7 linked regions of the Macaca fascicularis genome follow. The protein of the gene in region 1 purifies or fractionates together with the protein of each later gene. This does not show direct contact. Links are inferred from orthologs where the notes say so. Each region holds a gene or a part of one and is shown in the gene's direction. Other genes may lie near its edges. The genes, in order: NCK1, WIPF2, WIPF1, WAS, PAK1, TNIK and GIT1.

The links.
Region 2: the proteins of NCK1 (region 1) and WIPF2 purify together in Homo sapiens (co-immunoprecipitation; 3 studies listed by BioGRID and IntAct, with this or other methods). This does not show direct contact. The link is inferred for Macaca fascicularis from reciprocal best matches to the Homo sapiens genes NCK1 and WIPF2.
Region 3: the proteins of NCK1 (region 1) and WIPF1 purify together in Homo sapiens (co-immunoprecipitation; 5 studies listed by BioGRID and IntAct, with this or other methods). This does not show direct contact. The link is inferred for Macaca fascicularis from reciprocal best matches to the Homo sapiens genes NCK1 and WIPF1.
Region 4: the proteins of NCK1 (region 1) and WAS purify together in Homo sapiens (affinity purification with western blotting; 4 studies listed by BioGRID and IntAct, with this or other methods). This does not show direct contact. The link is inferred for Macaca fascicularis from reciprocal best matches to the Homo sapiens genes NCK1 and WAS.
Region 5: the proteins of NCK1 (region 1) and PAK1 purify together in Homo sapiens (affinity purification with western blotting; 8 studies listed by BioGRID and IntAct, with this or other methods). This does not show direct contact. The link is inferred for Macaca fascicularis from reciprocal best matches to the Homo sapiens genes NCK1 and PAK1.
Region 6: the proteins of NCK1 (region 1) and TNIK purify together in Homo sapiens (affinity purification with mass spectrometry; 3 studies listed by BioGRID and IntAct, with this or other methods). This does not show direct contact. The link is inferred for Macaca fascicularis from reciprocal best matches to the Homo sapiens genes NCK1 and TNIK.
Region 7: the proteins of NCK1 (region 1) and GIT1 purify together in Homo sapiens (affinity purification with mass spectrometry; 4 studies listed by BioGRID and IntAct, with this or other methods). This does not show direct contact. The link is inferred for Macaca fascicularis from reciprocal best matches to the Homo sapiens genes NCK1 and GIT1.

The regions. Positions count from the first base shown.
Region 1 is NC_088376.1:39,789,205-39,792,704, forward strand, and holds part of NCK1 (SH2/SH3 adapter protein NCK1), read left to right. Parts: intron 1-2,758; exon of another isoform or gene 2,759-2,880; intron 2,881-3,024; 5' UTR 3,025-3,042; coding exon 3,043-3,268; exon of another isoform or gene 3,269-3,500. UniProt on the Homo sapiens protein: Adapter protein which associates with tyrosine-phosphorylated growth factor receptors, such as KDR and PDGFRB, or their cellular substrates. Maintains low levels of EIF2S1 phosphorylation by promoting its dephosphorylation by PP1.
Region 2 is NC_088390.1:61,347,383-61,350,882, forward strand, and holds part of WIPF2 (WAS/WASL-interacting protein family member 2), read left to right. Parts: intron 1-92; coding exon 93-209; intron 210-2,030; coding exon 2,031-2,687; intron 2,688-3,500. UniProt on the Homo sapiens protein: Plays an active role in the formation of cell surface protrusions downstream of activated PDGFB receptors. Plays an important role in actin-microspike formation through cooperation with WASL.
Region 3 is NC_088386.1:70,191,357-70,195,646, reverse strand, and holds the start of WIPF1 (WAS/WASL-interacting protein family member 1), read left to right. Parts: upstream 1-1,490; 5' UTR 1,491-1,633; intron 1,634-4,290. UniProt on the Homo sapiens protein: Plays a role in the reorganization of the actin cytoskeleton. Contributes with NCK1 and GRB2 in the recruitment and activation of WASL.
Region 4 is NC_088395.1:48,838,757-48,842,837, forward strand, and holds the start of WAS (actin nucleation-promoting factor WAS), read left to right. Parts: upstream 1-1,281; 5' UTR 1,282-1,328; coding exon 1,329-1,460; intron 1,461-1,757; coding exon 1,758-1,898; intron 1,899-3,023; coding exon 3,024-3,110; intron 3,111-3,211; coding exon 3,212-3,314; intron 3,315-3,427; coding exon 3,428-3,469; intron 3,470-3,562; coding exon 3,563-3,616; intron 3,617-4,081. UniProt on the Homo sapiens protein: Effector protein for Rho-type GTPases that regulates actin filament reorganization via its interaction with the Arp2/3 complex. Important for efficient actin polymerization. Possible regulator of lymphocyte and platelet function.
Region 5 is NC_088388.1:76,214,312-76,217,695, reverse strand, and holds part of PAK1 (serine/threonine-protein kinase PAK 1), read left to right. Parts: intron 1-296; coding exon 297-434; intron 435-1,200; coding exon of another isoform or gene 1,201-1,254; exon of another isoform or gene 1,255-1,266; intron 1,267-3,384. UniProt on the Homo sapiens protein: Protein kinase involved in intracellular signaling pathways downstream of integrins and receptor-type kinases that plays an important role in cytoskeleton dynamics, in cell adhesion, migration, proliferation, apoptosis, mitosis, and in vesicle-mediated transport processes.
Region 6 is NC_088376.1:82,933,349-82,937,448, reverse strand, and holds the start of TNIK (TRAF2 and NCK-interacting protein kinase), read left to right. Parts: upstream 1-1,300; 5' UTR 1,301-1,615; coding exon 1,616-1,672; intron 1,673-4,100. UniProt on the Homo sapiens protein: Serine/threonine kinase that acts as an essential activator of the Wnt signaling pathway. Recruited to promoters of Wnt target genes and required to activate their expression. May act by phosphorylating TCF4/TCF7L2.
Region 7 is NC_088390.1:35,093,513-35,097,544, reverse strand, and holds the start of GIT1 (ARF GTPase-activating protein GIT1), read left to right. Parts: upstream 1-1,232; 5' UTR 1,233-1,481; coding exon 1,482-1,533; intron 1,534-4,032. UniProt on the Homo sapiens protein: GTPase-activating protein for ADP ribosylation factor family members, including ARF1.

The DNA.
Region 1 (3,500 bases):
ACCAAAAATTAGGGGGATAGCTGAACCAACCACAAGTCATAATATTGATAAAGTTGGGTGATAGGTATAGGGTTCATTATACTATTGCTCTCTTCTGTATATGTTGAAAAGTGCCATAACTAAAAGACTTAAAAGCATTATATAAATTTTTAGTTATTATACCAGTAATGTAGAATGCTATTTTTGTACATTCTGGGGAGCACTAGATAATATTGGTGATACTTTTGTCACCCTGATAAAGTATGGTATTTCAGTTTAGTTTTCATTTCTTTAATTATAAAGATATTCAGGATATTTTGAATACTTTTTGACTATTTGTGTTTTCTCTTTCAGTTTTTACTTTAATAAAACTTTTTATTTTGAGATCATTATAGATCCACATGCAATTCTGAAAACTTTAGAACTTATTGTGAAATCCAGTGTTTGTTTTCCTCCACTGGTAATACATCTGGCAGAAGTATAGTACAATATCACAAGAATATTACAAAATTTCTTCATGTTGCCCTTTTATAGCCATACTTACTTCCCTCCTGTTCCCACTACCCCGTTAACCCTGGCAACTACTAATCTGTTTCTAATTTCCATATTTTGTCATTTTGAGGGTTTTATATAAATGGAGTCATATAGTTAACCTTTGAGATTGGCTTTTTTCACTGAGCAATTATAATTCCCTGGAGATTCATTCAGGTTTTGTGCATCAGTTGTTCCTTTTTGGTATGAACGTACCAGTTTAATTATTTGCCTGTTGAAGGACATCTGGGTGGTTTCTGGTGTTTGACTGTTAGAAATAAAGTTGCTGTTATTCATGTAAAATGTAAACATAAGTCTTCATTTCTCTGGGATAAATACCCAGGAGTACAGTTGCTGGGTTATATGGTAGTTGCATGTTTAGTTTTACGAGAAGCTGTTAGACAATTTTGCAGAGTATCTGTACCATTTTACACTCTCATCGGCAGTGTATGAGTGATCCAATTTTAGCTTACCCTTGTCAGCATTTGGTATTACCACTCTTAGCCATTCTGACAAGTGTGTGTAGTGACATCTCAATGTGGTTTTAATTTGCATTTCCTTAATACCTAATGATGATGATTACCTTTTCATCTGCTTATTTGCCATCTGTAAATCTTCAGTGAATGGCTCTTTGTGTTTTTTTGCTCATTTTCTAGTTGGATTTGTTTTTCTAATGTTTCTTTAACTTTTCTAACTGCTTAAGATAGATACTCAGTTCATTAATTTATTTTTAGCTCTTTTTAAATTTTGTTTTTTTATTTTATTTTTATTATTATTTTTTGAGACGGAGTCTCGCTCTGCTGCCCAGGCTGGAGTGCAGTGGCGCGATCTTGGCTCACTGCAAGCCCCGCCTCCTGGGTTTAAACCATTCTCCTGCCTCAGCCTCCCAAGTAGCTGGGTCTACAGGCACCTGCCACCACACCCGGCTGATTTTTTTTGTATTTTTAGTAGAGACAGGGTTTCACCGTGTTAGCCAGGATGGTGTCAATCTCCTCACCTTGTGATCCACCCACCTCAGCCTCCCAAAGTGCTGGGATTACAGGCATGAGCCACTGCGCCCGGCCACTCTTTTTATTTTTTAATGTTACTATTTAAAACTGAAAATCTGTCTATATACACTCCTCTTGCTGTATACCACAGGGTTAGATGTATAGTTTTTAAAATTATTTACTTCTAAGTATTTTTAAAATTCAATATGATTTCTTCTTAGATTCATTAGTTTTTAGAAGTTTCCAAATGTGGTATTTCAAAAGTTATCTTTTTGTTATGGTTGTTGGAGAATGTGGTTGTAGGATACCAGTTACATGAACGTTGAGACATTCTTTATGGCCTGGCATTTGATTAATTTTTGTATGTGTTTCATTTGTATTCTGTTTGGAAGCAATATTCTGTATATTAACCAGTAAGTCTGTAAATCAGACTTACTGGTTGTGATATCGGTTCTTCTCTAGCCTTAATAGTGTATTTATTTAGTTAGTTAGTTAGTCAGTTAGTTAGTCAGTTAGTTAGTTAGTTTTTTCAGACTGAGTTTGGCTCTGTCGCCCAGGCCTGGAGTGCAGTGGCACGATCTCAGCTAACTACAACCTCTGCCTCCTGGGTTCAAGGGATTCTCCTGCCTCAGCCTCCCGAGTAGCTGAGATTACAGGTGCCCGCCACCATGCCCAGCTAATTTTTTGTACCTTTAGTAGAGATGGGGTTTCACCATGTTGGCCAGGCTAGTCTTGAATTCCTGACCTCAGGTGATCCACCCCCCTTGGCCTCCCAAAGTGCTGGGATTACAGGCGTGAGCCACCAGGCCCGGCTGTTTTTACTTCCTTGATTGTTTTATTACTCTGATAATATGTTAAAAATTGTCCTCTGTGGTAATGGTTTTGTCAGTTTCTCCTTGTGGTTCTCTCAACATATTTTGGAACTATCTTGTTAGGTACATAAAAGTTTAGATATTACATACATTGAGTAGAATATTTTTCATTGGGTAGTGAACTTTTTTGCTAGTAATAGTTTTTGCCCTTAAAGTTTTGTTTGATACTAATAGAGCAGCACCAGTCTCTTTATTGATTGGTTGGTTGATTGATTGAGACAGATTCTCCCTCTGCTGCCAGGCTGGAGTGCAGTGGTGCGATCTTGACTCACTGCAACCTTCGCCTCCCAGATTCAAGCAATTCCCATGCCTCAGCCTCCTGAGTAGCTGGGACTGCGGGCGTGCACCATCACGCACAGCTAATTTTTGTATTTTAGTACAGATGAGGTTTCACCATGTTGGCCAAGCTGGTCTCAAACTCGACCTCAAGTGATCTGCCTGCCTTGGCCTCCTAAAGTCCTGGGATTACGGGCATGAGCCACCGTGCATGGCCACACCAGTCTCTTTAAGTTAGTATTTGCCTCATGTATTTTATTCCATGTTTTTTACTTTTCATCTTTATGTCTTTAGATTTTTAGATGTGTCTCTTTTGAAAAGCATGTGAACTAATACTACTTCAACCTTACATAAAAATATTTTCCGTGTGTTTACAGTGCTGAAGCTGCTGAAAGATGGCAGAAGAAGTGGTGGTAGTAGCCAAATTTGATTATGTGGCCCAACAAGAACAAGAGTTGGATATCAAGAAAAATGAGAGATTATGGCTTCTGGATGATTCTAAGTCCTGGTGGCGAGTTCGAAATTCCATGAATAAAACAGGTTTTGTGCCTTCTAACTATGTGGAAAGGAAAAATAGTGCTCGGAAAGCATCTATTGTAAAAAACCTAAAAGATACCTTAGGTAAGATATTTTTTATTAAAAGAAAAGCAGCTTTGTTTTAAATGAAACCTGGAACTTAGTTCTTTGTACATAATTCTGGCAGCAGTGTGCATAATTGACTTGAAAAGGCAAGGACTAGGTAAGTTTGACTCATAGCAGGTGTTCAATGCAGAAGACCAGTGAAGGTCATAAGTGTTAACATGCAGTTTCTGTAAATCTAGGCCCACACTCCAAGTCAAGGCAGAGTAGTGCC
Region 2 (3,500 bases), on another chromosome or scaffold:
TAGCCCAGACAGAGGAGGGGTTTCCCCTCATGATTGACTTGGTCATCAGCTGAGAGCATGTGAAATGAAAACCCTACTGGTATGCTTTCCAGAGCCCAAAGGAAGCAGTGGTGGCTATGGCTCTGGAGGAGCTGCCCTGCAGCCCAAGGGAGGTCTGTTCCAAGGAGGAGTGCCGAAGCTTCGACCTGTGGGAGCCAAGGACGGTTCAGGTATCTGATGAGTACTTTCCCAGGATATTTCCCTGGTGTGTTAATTTCTGATGTCCCAAGTGGGCCATCTCAAGTTGAGGAGTGTGGTAAAGGTCGGGGGCAGAAAGACTTGGGAGCAGGGGAGGAGTTATACAGTAGAATACAGCAAAAGCTGAGGGATTAAATGAAAGCGGATGCAATTTAGATAAAGAAAATGTGGTATATATACACTAGAATACTATTTAGCCTTAGAAAAGAAGGAAACTTCTGTCATTTCTGATAATACGGATGAACTTGGAGGAAATTATACTAAGTGAAATAAGCCAGGTACAAAAACACAAATACTGCATGATCTCATTTATATGTGGGATCTGAAACAGTTGAACTCATTCATAGAAGTAGAGAGTGAAACGTTGGTTACTAGAGGCTGAGGGCAGTAGGTGTTGGGATGGAGAAAGGGGAGATGTTGGTCAAAGGGTACAAAGTTTCAGTTAGACAGGAGGGATAAGTTTTAGTGATCTATTGCAGCAGTCCCCAGTCTTTTAGGCACCAGGAACTGGTTTCATGGAAGACAATTTTTCCATGGATGGTGGTCGGGGATGGTTTCGGGATGAAACTGTTCCACCTTAGATCATCAGGCGTTAGTTAGATTCTCATAAGGGGCATGCAACCTAGATCCCTCACATGGGCGGTTCACAGTGGAGTTCGCCCTCCTATGAGAATCTAATGCTGCTGCTCTTCTGACAGGAGGCGGAGCTCAGGCGGTAATGCTTGCTCTCTCACCTTCTGTGTGCCCCGTTCCTAACAGGTCACTGACCTGTACAGGTGCGTGGCCCCAGGGGTATAATCAGACGACCCCTGATTATACTTGATGTATATTTGAAAATTGCTAAAAGAGTTTTATTTTATTTATTCTTTTCTTTTTTTTCCTCCTGAGATGGAGTCTTGCTCTGGCCCAGCCTGGAGTGCAGTGGCGCCATCTTGGCTCACTGCAACTTCCCCCTCCTGGGTTCAAGCCATTCTCCTGCCTCAGCCTCCCAAGTAGGTGGGATTACAGGCACAGGCCACCACACCTGGCTAATTTTTGTAGTTTTAGTAGAGATGGGGTTTCGCCATGTTGGCCAGGCTGGTCTCAAACTTCTGACCTCAAGTGATCCACCTGCCTTGGCCTCCCAAAGTGCTGGGATTACAGGCATGAGCCACTGCGCCTGTTGTAGAGTAGATTTTAAGTGTTTTCACCATAAAAAGAAAAATAGGTGATGGATATGTTAGTTTGATTTAATCATTCCACAATGTATACATATAACAAGGCATTGTATCCCATAAATACATAAAATCATTACTTGTCAAAAATAAAGTAAAATTTAAAAATAAATAACAATTTATCCTGAGCCTGAAACCATATTAAAACCTAGAACTAGGCCGGACGTGGTGGCTCACGCCTGTAATCCCAGCACTTTGGGAGGCCGAGGTGGGTGGATCACCTGAGATTAGGATTTTGAGACCAGCCTGGCCAACATGGGGAAACCCCATCTCTACTAAAAATACAAAAATTAGCCGGGTGTGGTGGTGCGCGCCTGTAATCCCAGCTACTCAGGGGTCTGAGGCAGGAGAATCACTTGAACCCATGAGGCAGAGGTTGCGGTGAGCTGAGATCATGCCATTACACTCCAGCCTGGGCAACAACAGCAAAACTTTGTCACACACACAAAAAAGCAAAAACCCAGAACTATGCAAGTCCTTTCCCTGCTACCATGCAGGTTGCACTAAGGAGCTGAGTCAAGTAGAGATACTGACCAGTATCTGTCTAGCTCTGTTGACCCCGTGTTTGTGTATTTGTAGAGAACCTAGCTGGTAAGCCGGCCCTGCAAGTCCCCAGTTCTCGAGCTGCTGCCCCAAGGCCTCCAGTATCTGCAGCCAGCGGGCGTCCTCAGGATGATACAGACAGCAGCCGGGCCTCACTCCCAGAACTGCCCCGGATGCAGAGACCCTCTTTACCGGACCTCTCTCGGCCTAATACCACCAGCAGTACGGGCATGAAGCACAGCTCCTCTGCCCCTCCCCCGCCACCCCCAGGGCGGCGTGCCAACGCACCCCCCACACCTCTGCCTATGCACAGCAACAAAGCGCCCGCCTACAACAGAGAGAAACCCTTGCCGCCGACGCCTGGACAGAGGCTTCACCCTGGTCGAGAGGGACCTCCTGCTCCACCCCCAGTCAAACCACCTCCTTCCCCTGTGAATATCAGAACGGGACCAAGTGGCCAGTCTCTGGCTCCTCCTCCTCCGCCTTACCGCCAGCCTCCTGGGGTCCCCAATGGACCCTCTAGCCCCACTAATGAGTCAGCCCCTGAGCTGCCACAGAGACACAATTCTTTGCATAGGAAGACACCAGGGCCTGTCAGAGGCCTAGCACCTCCTCCGCCCACCTCAGCCTCCTCCTCTTTACTGAGTAATAGGCCACCTCCCCCAGCCCGAGACCCTCCCAGTCGGGGAGCAGGTAAGTGCTTGGAAGCACCTTTTTCCCTATCGTGCTGTGAATTGATTTTATCTTTTCCCCAGAGCACTGCTTGAAGACAGTAATTCATTTATTCATTCAATGGGTTTATTGAGTACCTTTTTATGCGTCAGATCTGTTGGTAGGGAAATAGCAATAAATAGAAAAGACAAAAAGTTCTTGTTTTGGACAGTCAAACTAGTAAAATATATAAATACATAGTATGTAGTATGCTTTAGAGAATTACAAAGCAGAGGAGAGGAATAAGATGTACTGGGGCGGAGGTCGGATGATGATAAATTGGAGCAGTAGGGAGAGAGTCAAGACAGTCCTTACTGATAAGGTGAAAATTTGACAAAGACCTGAAGAAAGTGACGAGTAAGCTTACTAGTTATCTAGGAGAACAGCTGTTGCAGGCAGTGGGAACAACAAATGTAGAGGACATAAGGTAGAAGTATTCTTGAAACATTTTGGGGACAGCAAGAGGGCCTTTGTGGCAAGACTAGAAAGACTGAGGGAGGGAAGAGTGGTAGGACTTAGAGGTTGGAAAGCTGGAGCTGCAGGGGAGAACACTGCAGGACTTTGCAAAGACCTTGAATTTAACTTTGTGAGATGGGAAGCCACTGGAGAGTTTTAAACAGAGAAGTAGTATGATTTGACTCACCTTTTAAAAAGATCACTAGCACCTATGTTGATAACAGACTGCAGTAGGACAAAGGTGACAAAAAGAGACCAGTTACTGGGCTGTTGCAGTAAATGGCCAGATGGTTAGGAGTACTGCGAATTTGTGGGAAGATAGGTGTTTGGTTTGAGACA
Region 3 (4,290 bases), on another chromosome or scaffold:
TAATTTGGCAGGTAGGGGGCTTGAGAAGTGGGGAGTGCTGATTGGCCAGGTTGGAGATGGAATCACAGGGAGTCAAAGTGAGTTTTTCTTGCTCTTTTCTGTTCCTGGGTAGAATGGGAGAACTGGTTAAGCCAGATTACCCGTCTGGGTGGTGTCGTAGTGTGATCCACTGAGTTCAGGGTCTGCAAAATATCTCAAGCACAGATCCTAGGTTTTACAATAGTAATGTTATCCCCAGGAGCAATTTGGGGGAGGTTCAGACTCTTGGAGCCAGAGGCAGCATGACCCCTAAACTGTAATTTCTAATCTTAAAGGTAATTTGTTAGTCCTGCAAAGGCAGACTGGTCCCCAGGCAAGAAACGGATCTTTTCGGGAAAGGGCTATTATCAATTTTGTTTCAGAGTCAAACCAAAAACTGAATTCTTTTCCAACGGCTACGCCCAGGAGTGAACAAGGACACTTTAAAGGTTAGAAGGAAGATAGAGCCGGTTGTACATATGATTTCTTTCACTGTCACAATTTCCTCAGTTATAATTTTGCAAAGGTGGCTTTATATTCTCACCTTTCTGCTTTTATTCAAAGGGATACACAGCCTTTATATTTTAACAATATGATCCAATGGTTATTACATTGAGCAGAACTTTTTGTTGTTATTCCTTTCAAATGCACACTCTCGGTAGCCATATCGTCTTAGTGAGTGAATGTTAACTTTTCTTTGGGGCCTGGAGGTGGCAGCTCTCAGAGCTAGTCAGAACCCCCTGATGAGCAGGAGTTAGCTTGGGCAATGGAGTAGAGCTTCAGTTTTCTCCACGTTTGCTGTGGATCCTACCGTATTTAAGGATGTGGGTGGCTGATGATAAATCCATCCCCACTGGCAGCAAAACAATTCAATTCCACCCGACTGGTGAGGAGAGGCAGCATCTTTCCCAGCACATTGTTCCCACACAGTGGGCAGGAGTCAGATGCGTGTGGACCTTGGGCCTCTGTGGGGTTCACCCAAATTTGAAATCCATTTTAAAAAATGAATTTGAATTTCAGATATATGAAAGTTTGGACCCTCTTTATTTGAGAGCAGACGGGAAAGCGTGGGAAAAGGCGTTCCTTCCGGCTCGGAGAGAGGGGACGCCCCCACCTGATCCCCCTGCCAGCAGCCGCAAGAAGGTGGAGAGGATTCAAGAGTTGGGGGAAAAGGCCCTGGGCTAGACTCCCCTTCCAGTTCCCGCTCCTCTGCAAACTCCTGTCCCAGGCGCCCTGGCCTCGGTCCCCTCGTCGCGCAGGGGAGCGGGACGGAGGAAACTGTGAACTCCAGCCCCGACCATCCGCCCCGCCGCGCTCCTCCGCGGGAAACTGCGGGCGCGGAGCCCTATTGCCGGCGGGGCAGGCGGGAGCGCGGAGGGCAGGGCGCGGACCGGCGGGGCCTCGCGGCGCGTCCACATGTGGCGGGGCGGCGGGGGGGCCGCGGCGCCGAGGGGGAGGGCCCACATCTCGGCGAAGTTCCCGGATGGTCGCAGCCTCCGGGCGCTGAGCGCTTTTCCTGCCCGCGCGGCTCAGCCCTGCGGACCCCGGGAGAAGTTTCCCAGAAAAAATGCCCAGCGCGGCGCGGGGCTGTGGAGTCGTCCGGAGCCGCTGCGCGGTAAGGGACGCGTCGCCTCTGGCGCGACCCGGGTTCCGGGCTCCCGGGCGGGGACGGGGGGGAACGCCGGGAGGGGCTGGGCTCGACGGCGGGGCTTGGAAGCGCCGCTTGGCACCGGTGACGCGGGTGGGGCGACTGGGGACGTCGAGGCCGCGTCCCCTGCGAACGGTGGGCGCGGGCGCGCGGAGGCCTGCGGCCCGCGCGTCCTGCTCCCCGCTGATGGCCCGGGGAGGAAGCGGCGGTGGACGGCCGGGGGTCCCGCGCCTAGGGCTGGGCTCACCGCTGGGCTCCGCGGACCCGGGCCGCCCCGTGGGGCTTGGGACCCACGATCTCCGTAGGTCTCGAGCAAGGGCTTCGCGGCGATGCCTTGGGGCCGCACCTACACCCCAGCTAGGACGGAGGAGGACGCTCGGGCATCCCCCGGGGCCGGCTCAAGCTCTGGCACCGCCCGCCTGCCTCTGTGGGAACCGTGCCCCTCCCGCGCTCCAGCCCGCCTCCCTCCCGGCACTCCCGGGCGGCCAGCTCGCTCCAGGTCGGCGTAGACCTTGGGGACACTTCCAGTCCCCGTCAGTGCTTTTCGCCCGGAGTGGGAACGGGGGTTGGGGGGGTGCTTCCCTCGAACTCTCCAGACAGCTTCACTTCAGTCTCGCGTCCCCTACCTTTTTCTACTATACACACTTTTCTTTTTAAAGAAAGAACTGTTAGCGTTGCGAGTGTAAGGGAAAGCAGCTGACCCAGTCGCTGTGAGCCTTTGTTAATCGCAGAGAGCTCTAACTCAGACCACTGGTGGTTGGTTAGACTTTGAGCTCTTCGCGATTAACAAAGGGTGTGGCTGTGTGAGGAACTGAGCCTGGCGAGGTCTTCTGGTCCTGCTTAAATCCCGATGGAATATTCCTTCTTCAGCCACGGTCTCCTGGCCTTATTGAGTTCTCTGGGAAACTCTCAAGTTGGCTCAGTGACCAAGTGGACTTGGTCCATTTTACTGAAAAGCGGGTGTCCGTCCTGCCCCCTGGGTCGTCTCTGGACCCCACCCTACTCCCATTCCTCCATCCCTGGCTGCGTGTAGCCCCAGACTCCAGTCTGGTGCAGCCGCAGAGCCCGTGAACAGATTCCACGCTGGGTGGGTTTTCTTTTGCCAGCTTCCCAAAGCAATGTCAAAACCATACTGTAGCTTGATCTTGAGTCGTTGGTAGATTTTTCCATCTTCAAAAATGCTAATTTTTGTAATGGATAAAATAACTCCAAGAAATGTTCTACTACAGTTTGTAAATCACCTTTTAAGTTCTTGAGGTGAGAAAACCCTTGATAGGCTATCAGCACTCTGCCTATTAATCCCTTTCCACTGCACACAACACTGCCTTCTACTGTGACTGTGTATGTCTACCTGCCTGTCATCCCCACAAGGCTGAGTTTCTCGGGGACCTGGAGGTGCTATAGTCTGCATATCCCCAGCCACCCGTGAGAGCCCATTACCTGTTGAATGGAAATATTGAAACTAAACTCTGCAGATGTTATGAAACCAGTTCAGAAATATTGTCTTCCTCCCTGGGACTTACCCAACCCCTGCCATAACTTTGGCTCCATGAAAACACGTCAACTCTTTTAGGTTGTGTGAGGTAGTGCAAAGAGATTTGTAAGCAAGATAAGATCAAATTCTGGGATATTTAAAGAGAATGAGATTATTTCCACCTGGGGGGATTCATGCCTCCTTCTATTTGTTCATTTTACAGATTGTGGTGTATTCAGCCACTTTCTGGTGCCCTTAGGCATATCATTGCAGTTTGGGCCTCACTTGTCTCATCCAAGAAATGGGCTTGATGATCTTTGCTCTATGTCCACTACAGGGTATGAGGATCAAGTAGGATAATGGGGTGTGAAGGAAGCAGCAAAAAGCAGTATGATACAAGGGCCATCCAGATACCATGCGGTGTGTAGCACTAAGACATGAAATCTATAATGAGCAGAAGGGTGGGTGGTGAAGAGAGGGTAGTATGCCCTGACCTTGTACATTTACTGTCTCAGGTGCTATGACCAGACATGAGACCCTTTTAGGAGACAGTATTCATCACTGGGTCTGTATCATTGTCTTTGCTATTTCAAGGTGTTCCTAACTATGGTTGTAATTTTAGGAACATAGGTGATTTCCACAACACATACTGAGAGAATAAATGAAACAAAAGTGCCTTTTATTTGTTGCTGTAACCCCTTTACTTTTAAGCATCTGATATTTGGCATTTTACCTCCCAGGGCTGTGGTCTTCCTGAAGCCTTCCCTTCAGTGTGGTCTACTGAATTCTTAATGGTTTCCACACAGAGCTCTCTCTGCTGCTGTTTCCCAGCAATCCACAATTATACCATGGTTCTTGAAGGCTTGGTAGGCTTATTTATCCCTTGTGGCTAGCAGGGACCCACATCGAATCAGGTCACAGTTGGAATCAAGCCAGATACTCATTGAGCATTGTGGTTCCCTGCTAGAGGTGGTAGTTATACTCTATGCTAGGTAAGGGTAGAAAGGAATATGTAGCTCAGAAAGAGACGAAGTCTGCGCCTGAATGCTTACTTTCTGGTAGATATGAGACACGGTTTCAAACAGCAGGTATGCAGGCAGAATTTGGTAAATAAGGTGAAAAAGGTACAGACCAAATACAGGGAATTCAG
Region 4 (4,081 bases), on another chromosome or scaffold:
ATTAAACAAGATGTTGTTCAGGCATTCATATATGATATAAAGTTCCTTTTTTTTAAAAAAGGGATGTGCTGGGCACGGTGGCTTATGCCTGTAATCCCAGCACTTTGGGAGGCCAAGGAGGGCGGATCATGAGGTCAAGAAATCGAGACCATCCTGGCCAACATGGTGAAACCCTGTCTCTACTAAAACTACAAAAAAGTTAGCTGGGCGTGGTGGCGCGCGCCTGTAGTCCCAGTTACTCAGGAGGCTGAGGCAGGAGAATCACTTGAACCTGGGAGGCTGAGGTTACAGTGAGCTGAGATCGCGCCACTGCACTCTAGCCTGGCGACAGAGTGAGACTCCATCTCAAAAAAAAAAAAAAAAAAAAAAAAAGATGAGCAGAAAGTAATTTGGGAGCTGCAGGGAGGCAAGGGTAAGGGATGGGGAAGTGAACCAGAGGCATATGCGTCATTGGCAGTGTCTAAGCACTCAGGATAGGCGTGGATCACAGGGGCTCACTCTGTAATTAAAAGGAAAAGGGTTTTTGTTGTTGTGTTGTTGCTGTTGTTGTTGCTGTTTTTGAGACAAGAGTCTTGCTCTGTCATCATCCAGGCTGGAGTGCAGTGGTGCAATCTCAGCTCACTGCAACCTCCACTTCCCGGGTTCAAGCGATTCTCCTACCTCAGCCTCCTGAGCAGCTAGGACTACAGGTGCATGCCGCCATGCCTGGCTCATTTTTGTATTTTTTAGTGGAAATGGGGTTTTGCCATGTTGCCCAGACTGGTCTCGAACTCCTGACCTCAAGTGATCCGCTTGCCTTGGCCTCCCAAAGTGCTGGGATTACAGGTGTGAGCTACTGTCCCCAGCGAAAAGGAAAAGTTTTAGTGTAGTAACCCTTCAGGACTAGGGGCCTTGGGCTTCAGCCTCAGGCTACCTGGGTGCTTTAGGAAGGAGGCCACCCAGGCCCATGACTACTCCTTGCCACAGGGTGCCCTGCACACAGATGTGCTGCCAATGGCTAAGCTCTCACTGCCAGCCAGAGGGAAGAGGGTCTGAGCCAGTCAGAAGGAGATGGGCCTCAGACAGTAAGAAAGGAGGAGGAGGACCCAAGCTGATCCAAAAGATGGGTCTAAGCAGTCAAGTGGAGGAGGGTTCCAATCTGATGGTAGAGGGCCCAAGCTCGGCCTAACGAGGAGGAGGCCAGGCCCACCAAGGGGCCCCTGGAGGACTTGTTTCCCTTGTCCCTTGTGGTTTTTTGCACTTCCTGTTCCCTTGCTGCTCACTGCGGAAGTTCCTCTTCTTACCCTGCACCCAGAGCCTTGCCAGAGAAGACGAGGGCAGAAAGCACCATGAGTGGGGGCCCAATGGGAGGAAGGCCTGGGGGCCGGGGAGCACCAGCGGTTCAACAGAACATACCCTCCACCCTCCTCCAGGACCACGAGAACCAGCGACTCTTCGAGATGCTTGGACGAAAATGCTTGGTGAGCTGGGGATCTCCTGCCCCCGCCCCGTCCCCACCATTTCTTCCTCTTCCTCTCCTCCTTCTCTCTCTTCCCCTCCTCCCGCTCCTCCTTTCCCTCTCCATCATCTTCTCTCCTAGACTCTCCTGTTATCATCCACCCTCCCCAGGAAGATCTCAATGTCTACTTGCCTTCCCTCTGGCTGCAGCTCTTCCTTCGGGCCCATGACTGTCATGAGGCAGGAAGGACCAGGTCTGGCTCCAAGACCTTGTGGCTACCCCTGACCAGACTCCACTGACCCCTGCTTTCCCCTCCCAGACGCTGGCCACTGCAGTTGTTCAGCTGTACCTGGCACTGCCCCCTGGAGCTGAGCACTGGACCAAGGAGCATTGTGGGGCTGTGTGCTTCGTGAAGGATAACCCCCAGAAGTCCTACTTCATTCGCCTTTACGGCCTTCAGGTGACCCCCCCCCGCCCCTGACTGGACTTGCAAGCCAGTTCTCAACCCACAAACCCAGATCTGTGTCCATATGTGTCCACAGTCCCAAGATCTCAGACCTGATCAGTGAATCCCTGAGCCCCAGAACCAAAGACTCATCCAGATGGCAAACTCTGGCTTGCCTTTCTAAGTCTGCAATGGCTGGCCCCAGTCTCCATATCAAGATCTCTAAAGCCCCCAGTATTAGTCTGCTGCCTAAGCCTAATCTTTTCCACAAATTCCAATAAATGAGGACTGTATTTGTACCTGAACCTCAAATCTATTCTAAACTCAACATTTTGCATCCCAGGAATCTCTCATCAAAACTCCTGAACCCCAGATGTTTGCCAAGCTCCTAAGTCATAAATCTGTTCAACAAACCCCAAAGTTGAATATTCCATTGATCCTTGAACTCCAATTCTGTCCTTTTAAATCCACAGCACAGACCCCAGAATTCCCATATTAAAATTCCTGAACACTCAAATACCGAGGTGGTTCTTAAGCAAAAAGTCTTTTCCACAATTCCCCGACCTGAACTTTCTAGGTTTAAGCCCCAAATTCATCCTTCTAAACCCATAAAGATGGACCCAGCATAACTTCCAGATCCCAAGACTGTCAAATATTCACCAAACTCCTAAGTCATAACTCTTCTCCACAAACCCCAAATTGCACTTACTTTAGCTGGACCCTCCGCAAAACTCCCAAGTCTACGTGTCTGAACTTCAAATCTCATCTCCAACTCCCAAATACTAGAATCCTACCTGTCATGAATTGGGGCTGGGGTGGCAGGGGAGGGCATGGATTGAATCTATGAATGAGCCTCAACTTCCTAAGACTAGAGTCCTAAATTATGAAATTCAAGCTCCCAAGTCCCACATCTAGGGCCCCGAACCCCAAATCCAAACCTCTCACAAAAGTGTATGGCTCCCAGACTATACTCCACATCCACACCCTTAGATCTCAGCTCTCTGGTGCTGAGCTGGAAATCTCCAAACCAGACCATGAGGCCCCCAAATCCAGACACCCTGCTCCCTGCCCAGCTAACAAAGGCCTGCCACCCCTGGTGTGCCTCAGTGCCACTGTGCCTCCCACCCTACACCTCTCCAGGCTGGTCGGCTGCTCTGGGAACAGGAGCTGTACTCACAGCTTGTCTACTCCACCCCCACCCCCTTCTTCCACACCTTCGCTGGAGATGTAAGTGACCAACCAGCCCTCGGGCCTCACTTGGGGTGTGGAGAGGAGATGGGAAAGCTGTGGGGGGACCTGGGAGGCGGCTGACCCCAAGATATGTGCAGGACTGCCAAGCGGGGCTGAACTTTGCAGACGAGGGCGAGGCCCAGGCCTTCCGGGCCCTGGTGCAGGAGAAGATACAAAAAAGGAATCAGAGGCAAAGTGGAGGTGAGGAGGCCGCAGGGGAGGAAAGGAAGTTGGGCAGAGGTGAGTGCAAGCATGGGGAACTAGAAAAGTTATCTCTCATGGTCCTGGCTCCCAATCCATCTGTCTATCCACAGACAGACGCCAGCTACTCCCACCACCACCACCAGCCAATGAAGGTGAGAACTCTAGTGCAAGTAGCGGTAATAAGGGGCTAGCCCAGGAACCTGTGGCAGGGTTGTGATAGCTCTCTACACATTCTATCTTCCCAGAGAGAAGAGGAGGGCTTCCACCCCTGCCCCCGCACCCAGGTGGAGACCAAGGAGGTGCGTGCTGATTCTTCCCTGTGTCTCTGGATGGATGGGTGGGTAGGTGGAAGAGTGAATGGAGGAATGAGCAGTTGGATGGGTGCGTAAGTGGGTGAATGTATGGGTAGATGGATGGGTATGCGGATGGACGAGCGGGTGCATGGATGTGTGGATCGATGGATGGGTGGATGGATTGGTGGTAGATGGCTGAGTGGAGGGATGAGTTGATGGGAGGATAAAACTCTAAGTAGATAGATGCATAGGTGAATGGGTATGTGGATAAATGAATGAAAAGGTAGATGGATGACTGAGTAAATTAGTGAATGAGTGAATGAATGAACAGTGAATAAACGGCTAAATGACAAATTTCAGTCAGTGAAGAAAGCATGATTGAATGAATACAAGAGTAAATGAAAATTTTAACAAATCCATTAGTCAATGAGCCAGTGAATGATAAAGCATGAGGGAATGAAAAAAATAAAT
Region 5 (3,384 bases), on another chromosome or scaffold:
TGTAACATATTTCGTAAGTTTACAAAGTACTTTCAAATACACTATCTTATTTTTACAGATATGTGAGATGGGCATTATCATCATCCTTACTTTACAGATAGGGAAGTTGCACATAGTCTCATGGCCTTTAAATGTTCAGCCTGATCCTTAGGTCATACTCTTTCCAGTATATATACACAGCTGCTACTTTGCATCCTAGAGCATAAAGCAGCTGACCATATTTCTAGAATGTGTATATGGAGAACAAGAGAGAGCCTCAGTTGGAGTTCAAGGTGATTCACCATTTTTATTGCCAGGCCTTGTACCTCATTGCCACCAATGGGACCCCAGAACTTCAGAACCCAGAGAAGCTGTCAGCTATCTTCCGGGACTTTCTGAACCGCTGTCTTGAGATGGATGTGGAGAAGAGAGGTTCAGCTAAAGAGCTGCTGCAGGTAACTGTCCCTGTGCAGGGAAGCACCTAATTCAGGGAATCACTAAACCAGGCCTTTTTTACTTCATGTTTGTCTGTAAGGTACTGGATATTATAGAACTAGGCTTCTCTTTTACCATTTCCTACCCTCACTCTGTTCCTACTGCTCTAACTTTTATCCCTGGGGCTTTGCTTATTTATTTTCTTAGCCTCTTTCTTGGCCTGTTAAAACTCTACACATTCTCCTAGGCTCAGTTTACAATCATTTTCTGAGCACCTATTGAGCTTTGCTTGTAGCTTCCTTCCTTCCTTCCTTCCTTCCTTCCTTCCTTCCTTCCTTCCTTCCTTCCTTCCTTCCTTCCTTCCTTCCTCCCTCCCTCCCTCCCTCCCTCCCTTCCTCCCATCCTCCCTTCCTCCCTCCCTCCCTCCCTCCCTCCCTTCCTCCCTTCCTCCCTTCCTCCCTCCTTCCTTTTCCTTTCCTTTCTTTCCTTTCTTTCTTTTCTTCTTCCTTTCCCTTTCTTTTCTTTCCTTTTCCTTCCTTTCCCTTTCCTTCCTTCCTTTCCTTTCCTTTCCTTTCCTTTCCTTTCCTTTCCTTTCCTTTCCTTTCCTTTCCTTTCCTTTCCTTTCCTTTCCTTTCCTTTCCTTTCCTTTCCTTTCCTTTCCTCTCCCTCTCCCTCCCCCTCCCCCTCCCCTTTCCCTTCCCGCCTCCCTTACTCTCACCTCCCCACAGGGTCTCACTCTGTCACCCGGGCAGGAGTGTACAATGGTGTGATTTTGTCTCACTGCAGTTTTCCTCTCCTGGGTTCACTCAAGTGATCTTCCCACCTCAGCCTCCCAAGTAGCTGGGACTACAGGTACATGCCACCATACCGGGCTAATTTTTTAAAAAGTTTTTTGTAGAGACGCGGTTTTGCTGTGTTAGCTAGGCTGGTCTCAAATTCCTGGGTTCAAGCGATGTGACCACCTCGGTTTCCCAAAGTGCTGGGACTACAGTTATGAGCCACCATGCCCGGCCTGCTTGTATCTTTCATTAGCACATCCTTTGTTCTGTTTGAATTAGTCTGGCAGAGTTTGTTTGAGTCTTGTTGAGAAATGGCTCTCTGACATCCAAATCTTACGCAAGTTATATTTTTGCTGGGATTAGCTCAAAGGATACATTTTTAGCAAAGGAACATACGTTTATTTTATTTTATTTATGTTTTATTTTTTGAGACAGGATCTCTGTCTGTTGCCCAGGCTGGAGTGCAGTGGTGCAGTCATGGCTCACTGCAGCCCCAGCCTCCCCAGGTTCTGCTGATCCTCCCACTTTAGCCTCCAGAGTAGGTGGGACTACAAGCGTGCACCACCATACCTGCCTAATTTTTATATTTTCTGTAAAGACAGGGTTTTGCCATGTTGCTCAGGCTGGGCTCAAACGATCTGCCCGCTATAGCCTCCCAAAGTGTGGAATTACAGGCATGGCATGAGCCACCATGCCCATCCATGGAACATAAGTTTAGAAGATAATTAGTGAGTATGGCTTTTGGAGTCTATACTTTCTTCACTGGAAATCCTCAGATAATGGCAATGATACTCTACTTGTTGAGAGTGAGATTTTGCCAGTTTGTGGAGAAACCCGGAGTCAGGGGTTTACCAGGCCTTTTATACTCCCACCCCCCTAATCCTGATAATTTTACATGGTTGAAAAAATTGCCTTTAGCAGGCCACGTCATTTGTATTTAACATATTTGTTTCCAGTACAATTTCTTATAACAAGTGTTCTTTTATTGTATTGCCCACTAGTGATTTAATAGTAAGTATCATGTGCAACTTTATGAAGGCATGCACTGTCATTTATTTTCGTATTATAAAGCCCAGGAGTGACAGAGCAGGGCAGGGCAGGGCAGGACCTAGCATACTGCCCTGTGTTAATTATGAATCTTTCCTACTGGATTATAACCTCTATTTTATTAATCCCTGAGTTTCTTGTTTTACCTAGAACCTGACTTAGGATAGGTACTCAAAAAATATTTATTGAATTGAATGAAATTGCTGGAAGAACCTACATTGGAATATCATCCTCTGGAACATATTTATCATCTCTTTGTAATTGAGGTTACTGATTATGGAGTACTGGCCTATTAGATATGAGATCTGGGTTCTGCCAAGTGTAACCCATTAGTCTCTAGTATCTGTTGGGACTAAAAGTCTCTTAGTACAATGTAGGACCCCTTTTGCTGTTCATGAGAGTTGTATTCTGCAAACTGTAGGCACTGGGAAATGTGTAAATACGATATGCTAAGCCTATGATTAGTAAAGATACCATTCTTAATTAAGTACCAAACTATAGTTCTTGAAAGGTTAGTGCCCTCTAAAGTTTTCTTCCTGATACAGTAATATAACTAGTAATAAATGCATTATATTGAATCTTTACCATATTTTAGGCACTAAACACTTTATATATTTAGGCACTAATAAGCACTTTATATATTGTCCTTCACAACAACTCTATGAGTTATAGGTTCTGTTATTCTCATTTTTACAGATGAGGAAACTGAGGTTTCAAGTATTTAGTAACTTTTCCATGATAGCTGATATGTGGCAGATCCAGGATTTCAGCCTGTTTGGCTCCGAAGTGTGTATGCTCTTGGCCACTGCTCTTACAGGCTCAAAGAGTATCACAACTGGAAAGCCCTTAGGGCTCATCTAGTCTGTTTTGTTTATTAGACAGAGAAGGAAACTGAGGCCTTCCAGTTCGGTGTTGGATCATGCTGCTCTCAACTTAGGGGAATTGTAGAAACATGTGATCTGAGAAAGCTGGCTTTTTAACTTGTTCGTGTACATTGTAAATATTGAAAACCATGACTTTGAGAATCGTAAATCATAAAAGCTTCACATCTGTTTCTCCTGTGAGAACACACTTATGGACAGAAATACATAGGATGATATATATTGGAATTCCTATCTTCATGATTTAGCTAGGATCTTTTATT
Region 6 (4,100 bases), about 43 Mb from region 1:
TCGTTCATAAGCCTTATTTTGAAGCTGATCTTCAGACTGCATGATTAAGAAACCATCAGTGCACTGGTCAGAAGTACATTCTGCTGTTAGCAGAGGAGCAAAGAATGCTTTCAAAGCTACTGCTGTATTTGGAAAAAAGTTCAGTTTTAGTGTTTTCTTTGTATGTATTTTGCGTGGCTAAGGCGGGAGAAGAAGGGCTGCGCGGGGATTGGGGGAAGCGACTTCGCACTCTTCATTACAGAAAAAGGATCATGTATACCACTGTAAAACATCCAACCTTTAAATGAGAAAGTGGGTGAAGTGAAATCGCTCTCACGTACACATATTCCGCGTTACTTCTTATCCGCCAGCCAAACTTTCTCCATCAATCTGGGTAGGTCTGACACGAAAATGCAGCCTGAAAGAAATGCTGAGTCCTGAGGCGGCGTGTGTTGCCTCACCCAGTGCTGGCTTTGGAGTTACCTGAAGCCTTCTAGCTACTGCACCCAAAGAACAAGCTTCTCGGTTCAACTCGGTTGTTTCCGTGGGGAATTGCGGCACGAGCAGGTACTGGGTGTGGCGATGCCAAGAGAGCGCTCAGATCTCCCATCTTTCCCGCTTCTGGCAAACCTTCCCGGTCCCGAATCGGCGAGTGACCAGCACCCGGGACCCGCCGTCCCGCATTCCGGGGACCGCGGTTGGACCCGACCCCGCCGCAGCTGCAAACTGCCGAAGCGCCCAGCTGAGTGCACTGTGCGTGTGCGCTTCTCCCCCACTCTTTCCGCGCCTGGAGGCGGATCCCCTTCCTTGCACACAAGTCCTTATATGCACCGATTGCACCAGCCCGCTTTACTCCGGCCCCACAAATAATTAACAGGGGAGGGAGGGTGTCGCTTTTTTTTCCTCCGGCTTTTTCTCAGCGGGAGAGCATTTGAACCGAGGAGAAACCCCAAGATGAGACTGAAGGGCCATTTTGCTGCAGTGCACGAATTGGCCACACAAAAATACAGCTTGGGTCCCTATGATAAGCAAGTCAAGGTTCAGGAACAGCCCTTCGGATTTGGCCCCAGGAGCCCTCAAAAGCCTGGGCGGAAAGGGTGCGCGCCCCTCCCCCCTCCACGCTGGCGGGGAGGGACCGGGTCAGGAAGCGCGGCCTCTCCCCAGTCCAAGACCACGCCTCCTCCGCCTCCCCCCCACCCCCTTCACTCCTCCCAGGAAGCGGTGATAGACAGTTCTGTGTGGTTCTCCACCCCCACCCTCCCCCCGCTGAGTGGAGGAGTTGATGTGTCTCATTATAACAGCCAATGCAGCCGCCATCCACGCACAAGCAAAGAAGCATGTCCCATTTAAATACACCCACGCAGCCCCAGCGCCCTTAGCCGATCGGGGCGCTCAGCCCACACGCACCGCTGCTCCGGGCTTGGAGATCCGCGCAGGTTGGGCTCCCGGACCCGGCGGACCGACGCGCGGAGGATCGGGATCCGGCGCTGTGGGGCTGGGGTGGGCGGGGGAGGCTGGGCCCGGGGCCTCTGGCGCGATACCCGCATGAGGACGCGAGTGAAATAGACCAAGGTGGAATTTCCAAGGGAAAAGCTTGGGGGTGGTTTTGGTCCATTTCTCCAGCGAAGAAGTAGACATGGCGAGCGACTCCCCGGCTCGAAGCCTGGATGAAATAGATCTCTCGGCTCTGAGGGTGAGCAGGACATGTTTTCTGGTTTCTTTCCAGTGGTTTGGGTCAGGGTGAATGGGCTCGGTGCGTGGACTGGGGGCAGGGGCTGGGGCTGGGGGACAGCAGCGGGAGAATGCGTCGGGGAGGGAACCTGGATTCCCGTTTTGATTCGGGGTTGCTGAGGTGCTCCCGGCTGAGCCCCTACGGCAGGGGCTGTGCGGTACGTGTCTTCCTTTGGCCGTGGCCGAGGCTCTCCCGAGGGCTCGTGGAGCTCGTGGAGCTTATGCTTTCATCTTATACCGGTGTAAGAGCAGTAAAATGAAAGGTGTGTGTGTGTGTTGGTGTGTACGTGTGTACACGCCCCGGGCAGTTGTCTGGTGCCAAGGAGCGAGACCCAACTGTCCCTTCTGCAAAAAGAATGCCAGCGTGAATAAAGGCACTGGCTCCTCACGTTTTCCAGCTACCTGCAAGATGACATTGTGAGGCTGACTGTCCCCGCGAAGCCGAACCTGCCGCTCCAAGGGGGCAGTTATTGCTATGCTTGTCTTGTAGATGGCAACTGTCTCCCCCTCCCCCTTTTCTGCCTCCCGCACCCGGGCGCCCTCTCAGCGCTCCCTTAAATGCCAGTCTGCCACTCACCTTTATTTATGGCTTTAACTCAGCCCTGCCTGTGCTTTCTGACTTTGTGGCTGTAACGTTTCAGTTTTATGGCTGAACTTAAGCAGGTGAAAGGGATGTGTTTTCTGCTTTTCCTCAATCAGACCGGAACTCCCTGGAGTGTGTGCGAGTGTGTGTGTGTGTGTATGTGTGTTTTCCCCGTGTCTGTGGCCGGTCCTTTGTAGAGCACCTCCCTCCCCCCAGCCCCACTGGTTTGCGTTTACCTTCACGTGAATTACCTCAGACGCCGTTTCATTGTATTGACTAAGACATCACTGATACAGAATCCATTTTGCTGTTGTTTTGAGATCAGAATACCAGGAATCCCAGTGCTGCCTTGACGCTTCCCCACCCCCAACTCCCGATCCCAACACACTCCTTCGGGGAAGGGGGCAGAGCTTTCTTGTCATTTTAATTAGATGCTGCCTGCTGGGAAGGGGTGAGGGGTGGGGATGGTGGCAGCAGCGGGTGTCTGAGAAGGATTGGACACCAATTTAAGGACTGCTTCTTCCTCTCCCGAACCAAAAATAAAATTTAAAAAATAGCGAGTGCATGTACTTGATGTATGGAGGGTGGATGAGAAGGAATTGATGGTGGCTTTCTACAGGGAGACACCAGGATGGATGAAGTATGGAAGTTCACACGCCCTCCTGAGGAATACATTGTTAGATTGATGCTGAATCTTGGGGCCATTTACCTGGATTCCTAGTACTTCTGACATTGCCTCTTTCTGTACTGTTATATTAAAGTGCTACCTTTGTGATCAAAGTGGTACTTTCTCTTTGGTCTCCTTAATTAAACCTTTTCCTCCACATCTCTTTTAATAACGCTTTCTCTCTTCGTCTTAATCTGTTGGGCCAAGAGGTGAGGCTTCAGCAAGGCAGGTAAGGAGTTGAGAAGAAACAGAGATGCCGTTTGAAATGGGCTGTTCTGATAGTTGGGCAGCCGAAGCTCCTTCATGCATTATTACAGGAAGCTGTCTATTTCCCTGGAGTGGAAATGCCACATCAAGAACCGGCTGCCCCCTGCGCAGCGGGGTGGGGTTGGTAACAGGGTGGGTGCATTGGCCAGGTCTGTGGCTTCCTGCTTTACCGACTGTGTGTGTTCATTTGCCCTACTTTCTGCGCTGGGAGTTGCTGCCGGCGGGTTAATCAGGTGGATGGATGGCCCAGACTGGGGGTGGGGTGCTGCGAGTCGGTCGGGGGTCGGGGTGGCGGAGGCGGGGGGCAGTGGCAAAGGGGGAAAGGTTCTGAACAATGTGCAGGGTTTGCGGTGATTTCCCTGGGCCGGAATCTCCACCTTGCTCCTCTACTGGAAAGCAGTCTGATGTGATTTTTAAGTTGGGCCCGGACTTGTCCCTTGTGGGCTTTTTCCTCGGGAAGGTTTTCTGAGATACCAAGCACAGAGCCTGCAGGCACGAGAGCAACCGCTGAGGGCCACCGGGCGGATGACTGCGGATCACACTTGGGGTGTGCATTCTTGTGATCTGTATTTTGAAAACATATCTTTGCACAATGCACTGAAATTGCTCTTTGTGGCCTGGGCTATCAGCTTAGGGCTCTGCTGCTGTTTTTCTGCCTGCTGGGAGGTGTGGAAACAGAGAGGGCAACAGCTAGCTTGGGGACCAGGAACTGCTGGCTAGAAGACTTAGATGCAGATGCAGATGTGGAGACAGTTGCAGATGTGGGGCCAGGGTCTTTGACCAGTCTTGTGGGTGAGGTGTGCCTGCTGGAGTGGGTCCAAAGGCCACATAGGTAATCTCCACAAATCAGAGGGCAGATCATCTCCACCTTCC
Region 7 (4,032 bases), on another chromosome or scaffold:
AAAAGGCGATGGAGGCAGCTTTGCATGTATTTCGGGTGGTGTGACTCATGAGAATTACTTGTCTCCCCTAGGGAAGGAGCCTGCCCACCCACAAGTCACTGCCGCTCTGGCACCGCTGGGATAAATCGACCAACTTGAGCACCCCTGCCAAAGGACTGCCCCCATCTGTTACCGAGCAGGAGTCTCTGACTTCGATAACCCCTCCTCAATTGTCACCACTGACCTGGCCCCCAGGTCTGGCCCTGGGGACCTCTGCCCTCTCCCCACAAGCAGAGTGCCCGGGCCTTTTGCTGCTGCAGGGATTGGGGGTTGGGTGCACGCGCGGCACACGTGTATGGGGGAGCATGCTCAGTGCGGGGGCTGTGCTCATGTGAGGCCTCCAACTAGGCTCCCTGCCCCCCAGCCCACCCACGTCCCTCACCTGCCTTGCCTTTGCCTGCCTCTTCGTGTGAAGTCCAGGAAGAAAGGCTGTCACCTGAAACGGCCCCTCTGTGTTATATGCACCCTTTCTGGACGCACACACCTCTGGTGGCCCAGAAACACCGTGTGTATAAGGCGGATGACAAGTGGATTTGAGTGCACACAGGCACAGTGGTCACTCCTTGGGAGGTCTTTAAAAACCGCCCAGATTCCTCTCTGGATGGAAGCATGCATGGAGAGATAGATATATTTTTAGTCCAGAGGCAGGGGAATACACTGCCTGACCTTTCTAGCACCTGGGCGTCCATATTGTTGGCAATGAGCGTATTCAGCAAGAGTGTGACACACGCACACACACCTGGACACACAGATGTGGACACCTACAGGACCGGGAGGCACACCTCACCCCAACCAGAGATAGAAGGGTACCCCAAGGCACAGCCCCTTTGACCTGGAGCGGGACTTGGGCCTCCAAGTCCTTCCTGCCTAATCCCCGCCCTCGCCATCCCTCGGCCCAGCGTCCCCCAGGCCACCCCACGCGGAAAGTGAAGGGGAGGGGGCTGTGAGGGTGACTCACATTGCCTCCGGGCCAGGCGAGCGCCGCAGCGGAGGCCAGGACCGCAGGCCCCGCTGCCCGCCGGGGCCGGGCATTAGCCGCGGCCCCTTTAAGCGCCCCCGCCCCCTCCCGCCCGCGCCCGGGCTTCCTTTCTCCAGGGGGCGCGGCCGGGAGCGCGCGGCGGGGCGGGGGTGCGGCCCCTCCCCTGGTGGGCAGGGCCTGCGCCGCTTCCTGCAGGAGCGGCCCGGAGCCGCGCAGGGGGCGGAGAGAGGAGTCGCGAGCGGCGGCGGGGCGGCGTGGGGCGGAGGGCGCCCGAGGGCGAGCGGGCAGGCGGGCACGGCGGGTTCCGGGCCAGCCCCGGGGCGGACGGTTGGCCGGGCGCGCGGAGCCTCGCCGGGGCCTCGCCGGAGCCGGGCCGGGCAGCAGGGGCCGCCGCCGCCGCCCGGGCCCGCCGCCCGCGCCCCCCACGCTGGCCCAGAGGGCTGCGGCCGCGTCGCCGCTGAGGATGTCCCGAAAGGGGCCGCGAGCGGAGGTGTGTGCGGACTGCAGCGCCCCGGGTAAGCGCGGCGGGGCCGGGGGCGGGACCGCACAGCCAGGCCGCCGCCGGGCGGGCGCCGGGGCCTGGCGAGAGCGCCGTGCGGGGCCGGAGGGCTGGGCTGGGCTGGGCTGGGCGGGGCGGGGGGCTGCGGCCTCCGGGCTCGGCCCCCGCCCCGGCCACTGCGGAGCCGCGTCCTTGGCGGGAGGGCTGTCCTGGGGGGCCCATGCTCCCTGGAGGCCGTGGACGAGCGAAGAAGGACGTTCCCGGCGCTGCCTCCCGCCCCTCGGTCTGAGGGAGGCGGGCAGCTGGCTGCCCCTCCACCTCCATCTCTATCCGACGGAAGCGCCAGCCTGGGGTGGCAGGAGGGCAGTGGCGGAGGCCGGCAGGGCTTGGGAGGTGGGGGCGAGTGTGGTTTTGTGTCATCTCAGTGCCACCCCCGCGTCTTGCACCTGCTGCTCGCGTGGTCGGCACGCCTGCCGGGGTGGTGGAGGGCAAGGAGCAGAGGGCCGGGCAGATGCGCCAGCGGGGCCTGGATACCGTCTCCTCAGGAGCAGATGAGCAGTGGCTACTCCCAGGACTCCCTGCCGCGGGTTCCTAAGGCTAGCGCTTTTTTGCGGGGCCTGGCGTTCAGGGCCAGTTCAGACCCGGGTGTCTTATCGGGAGGCATCACCAGGCCTGCTGGTGGTGACTGGGAACAGCTCGGCTGGACCCTGCTGTTCCTATTCACCGTAAGGCCCGCTTGGGAAAGTGAGCTTGGCATCAAGCTATCCTGGGCCCCGGCCCCTCCCTGTCCCCTAGCCCAGTCTGGCGAGAAATGGGTGGGAGGCACTGCCTAGATTCCCCGCATCCTGCTGGCTTCCTAGCCTGCCTCCTGGCTGTATTTACATGGTGGTTCTCTTCTTTTTCCTAACAGAGTCAGGACTGGGCTGGAGTGAAACCCCCCAGGCCTGCTGAGGAAGTCAGGGGTAATGATCCAAGAGTCTGCTCCCTTCTGATGGGGGAGGACAGCCAGTGACTGGGCTCTGCAGCTGGCCTGGGAGGGAAGCTCTAGCCCCCATCCATTCTTTCTTTAGAAAAGGAGCTATCTCCCTAGTAGGCCCCTGGGCAGGCTTCGGAGGTCTGTGAACTCTAGCGGGGCTGTGGGCATTATTAAGAGTGAGATTATGGGGTGCTGGTTTGTGGGTCCATAACTTTCAGCCACCCCTTGAGCAAGCCCAGGACCCCACAGGTTGAGCCTCACAGATGCTCTGGTGGTTCTGGGGGTGGTGCCAAGCTAGACTGTTTGGGAACTGTGACCCAGCAGGGCTTGGGCACAAGATACTCTCCTCCTTGGGGCTTTTGGTTTAGAGGGCCCTGGGGTTGAGGGTCCATACCCCTAAGAAACTATGACTCCCTTCCCCCAGCTGCAGGCAGGTCTGGGGATGGCAGGGCTGAGGACACACCTTGCCTTATAAATGTCTGCCCACTGTTCCGCACCTCCATGGGGTGAGCATGGCATGCATGTGGAGGAGAGGCTTAGCAGGCACCCTATCGGGGAAGCCTGGGGCATAGTGTTGCCTTTGTTCCCAGCTTACTCTGTAACCCCAAAAAGACTTTCCTCACTGTGGGGGCCTCAGTTTCCTTAATTAGGAGGCAAAGAAATTGGAGTAGAAATGGTTTCTGGGGGGGCTGTGATCTGATTCTGGGGTGGAGGGGTGAAGGGCAGCACCAGCAAGGCAGCAAGGCAGTTGTCCTTTCTCTGTTGCATTGAATGTCATCCAAAGCCTCTGGATGCCCAGTGGGCTCAGGGAGGAATGGTGGGCATCAGATGTGTTGGATTGCCCAGCTCCTACTCCCAGGTCCTCATCCGTCAGAGGAATTTGTGCCCCAGATGACTCTTTTCCCCTGATACACAATAGAGGTCAGGAAGGTGGTGAGAAGGTGAGGATGGTAGGGTGGGGAGGATATGGACAGTCTTACACATCAGCCCACCTAGCACCAGCGAAGTGTCCAGCACATGGCAGGCGCTCCCTGAGTGTCTGGCTTCTTGTCGGGACCCTGGCTGGCTGCTTGGGACTATCCCACACCTGGACCCTAGGATGCTGGCCCTGGCATGCAGCGACGTGTTTGGTCTGGGTCCTGTGGCATCTCAGGCAGAGAGGCATGAGGGTACCCAGCAGTCTGGAGTCCAGATCCAGTGCCAGCCCCATGGTGTATCGCTCCACCCCAGGGTCACAGCCTTCTTTTATTGTGATAGGAGCCCTGCAGTCCCAGCCACAGGAGTGGGGCCAGGGACTTTTTGTGCTTGGTTAATTTGGGGAGTCATGGAGGTCAGAGGTGAGATGCAGCCTGCTCCCAGAGAGCCCCATCCTCCCTCTGCTCCCGGGCCTGGGCACACGGGACAAGTGCGAGTGTGTTGGTAGGCAACTGGACATGGTGTGGCTGCTCTGGCAGCTTGTGCCACCTTGTCAGGCACCGTGTGCATTCCTGCCTGCCTGGGGAGTCCAAGAGAGGAAGGGGGCAGGGAGCCCTGGAGAAT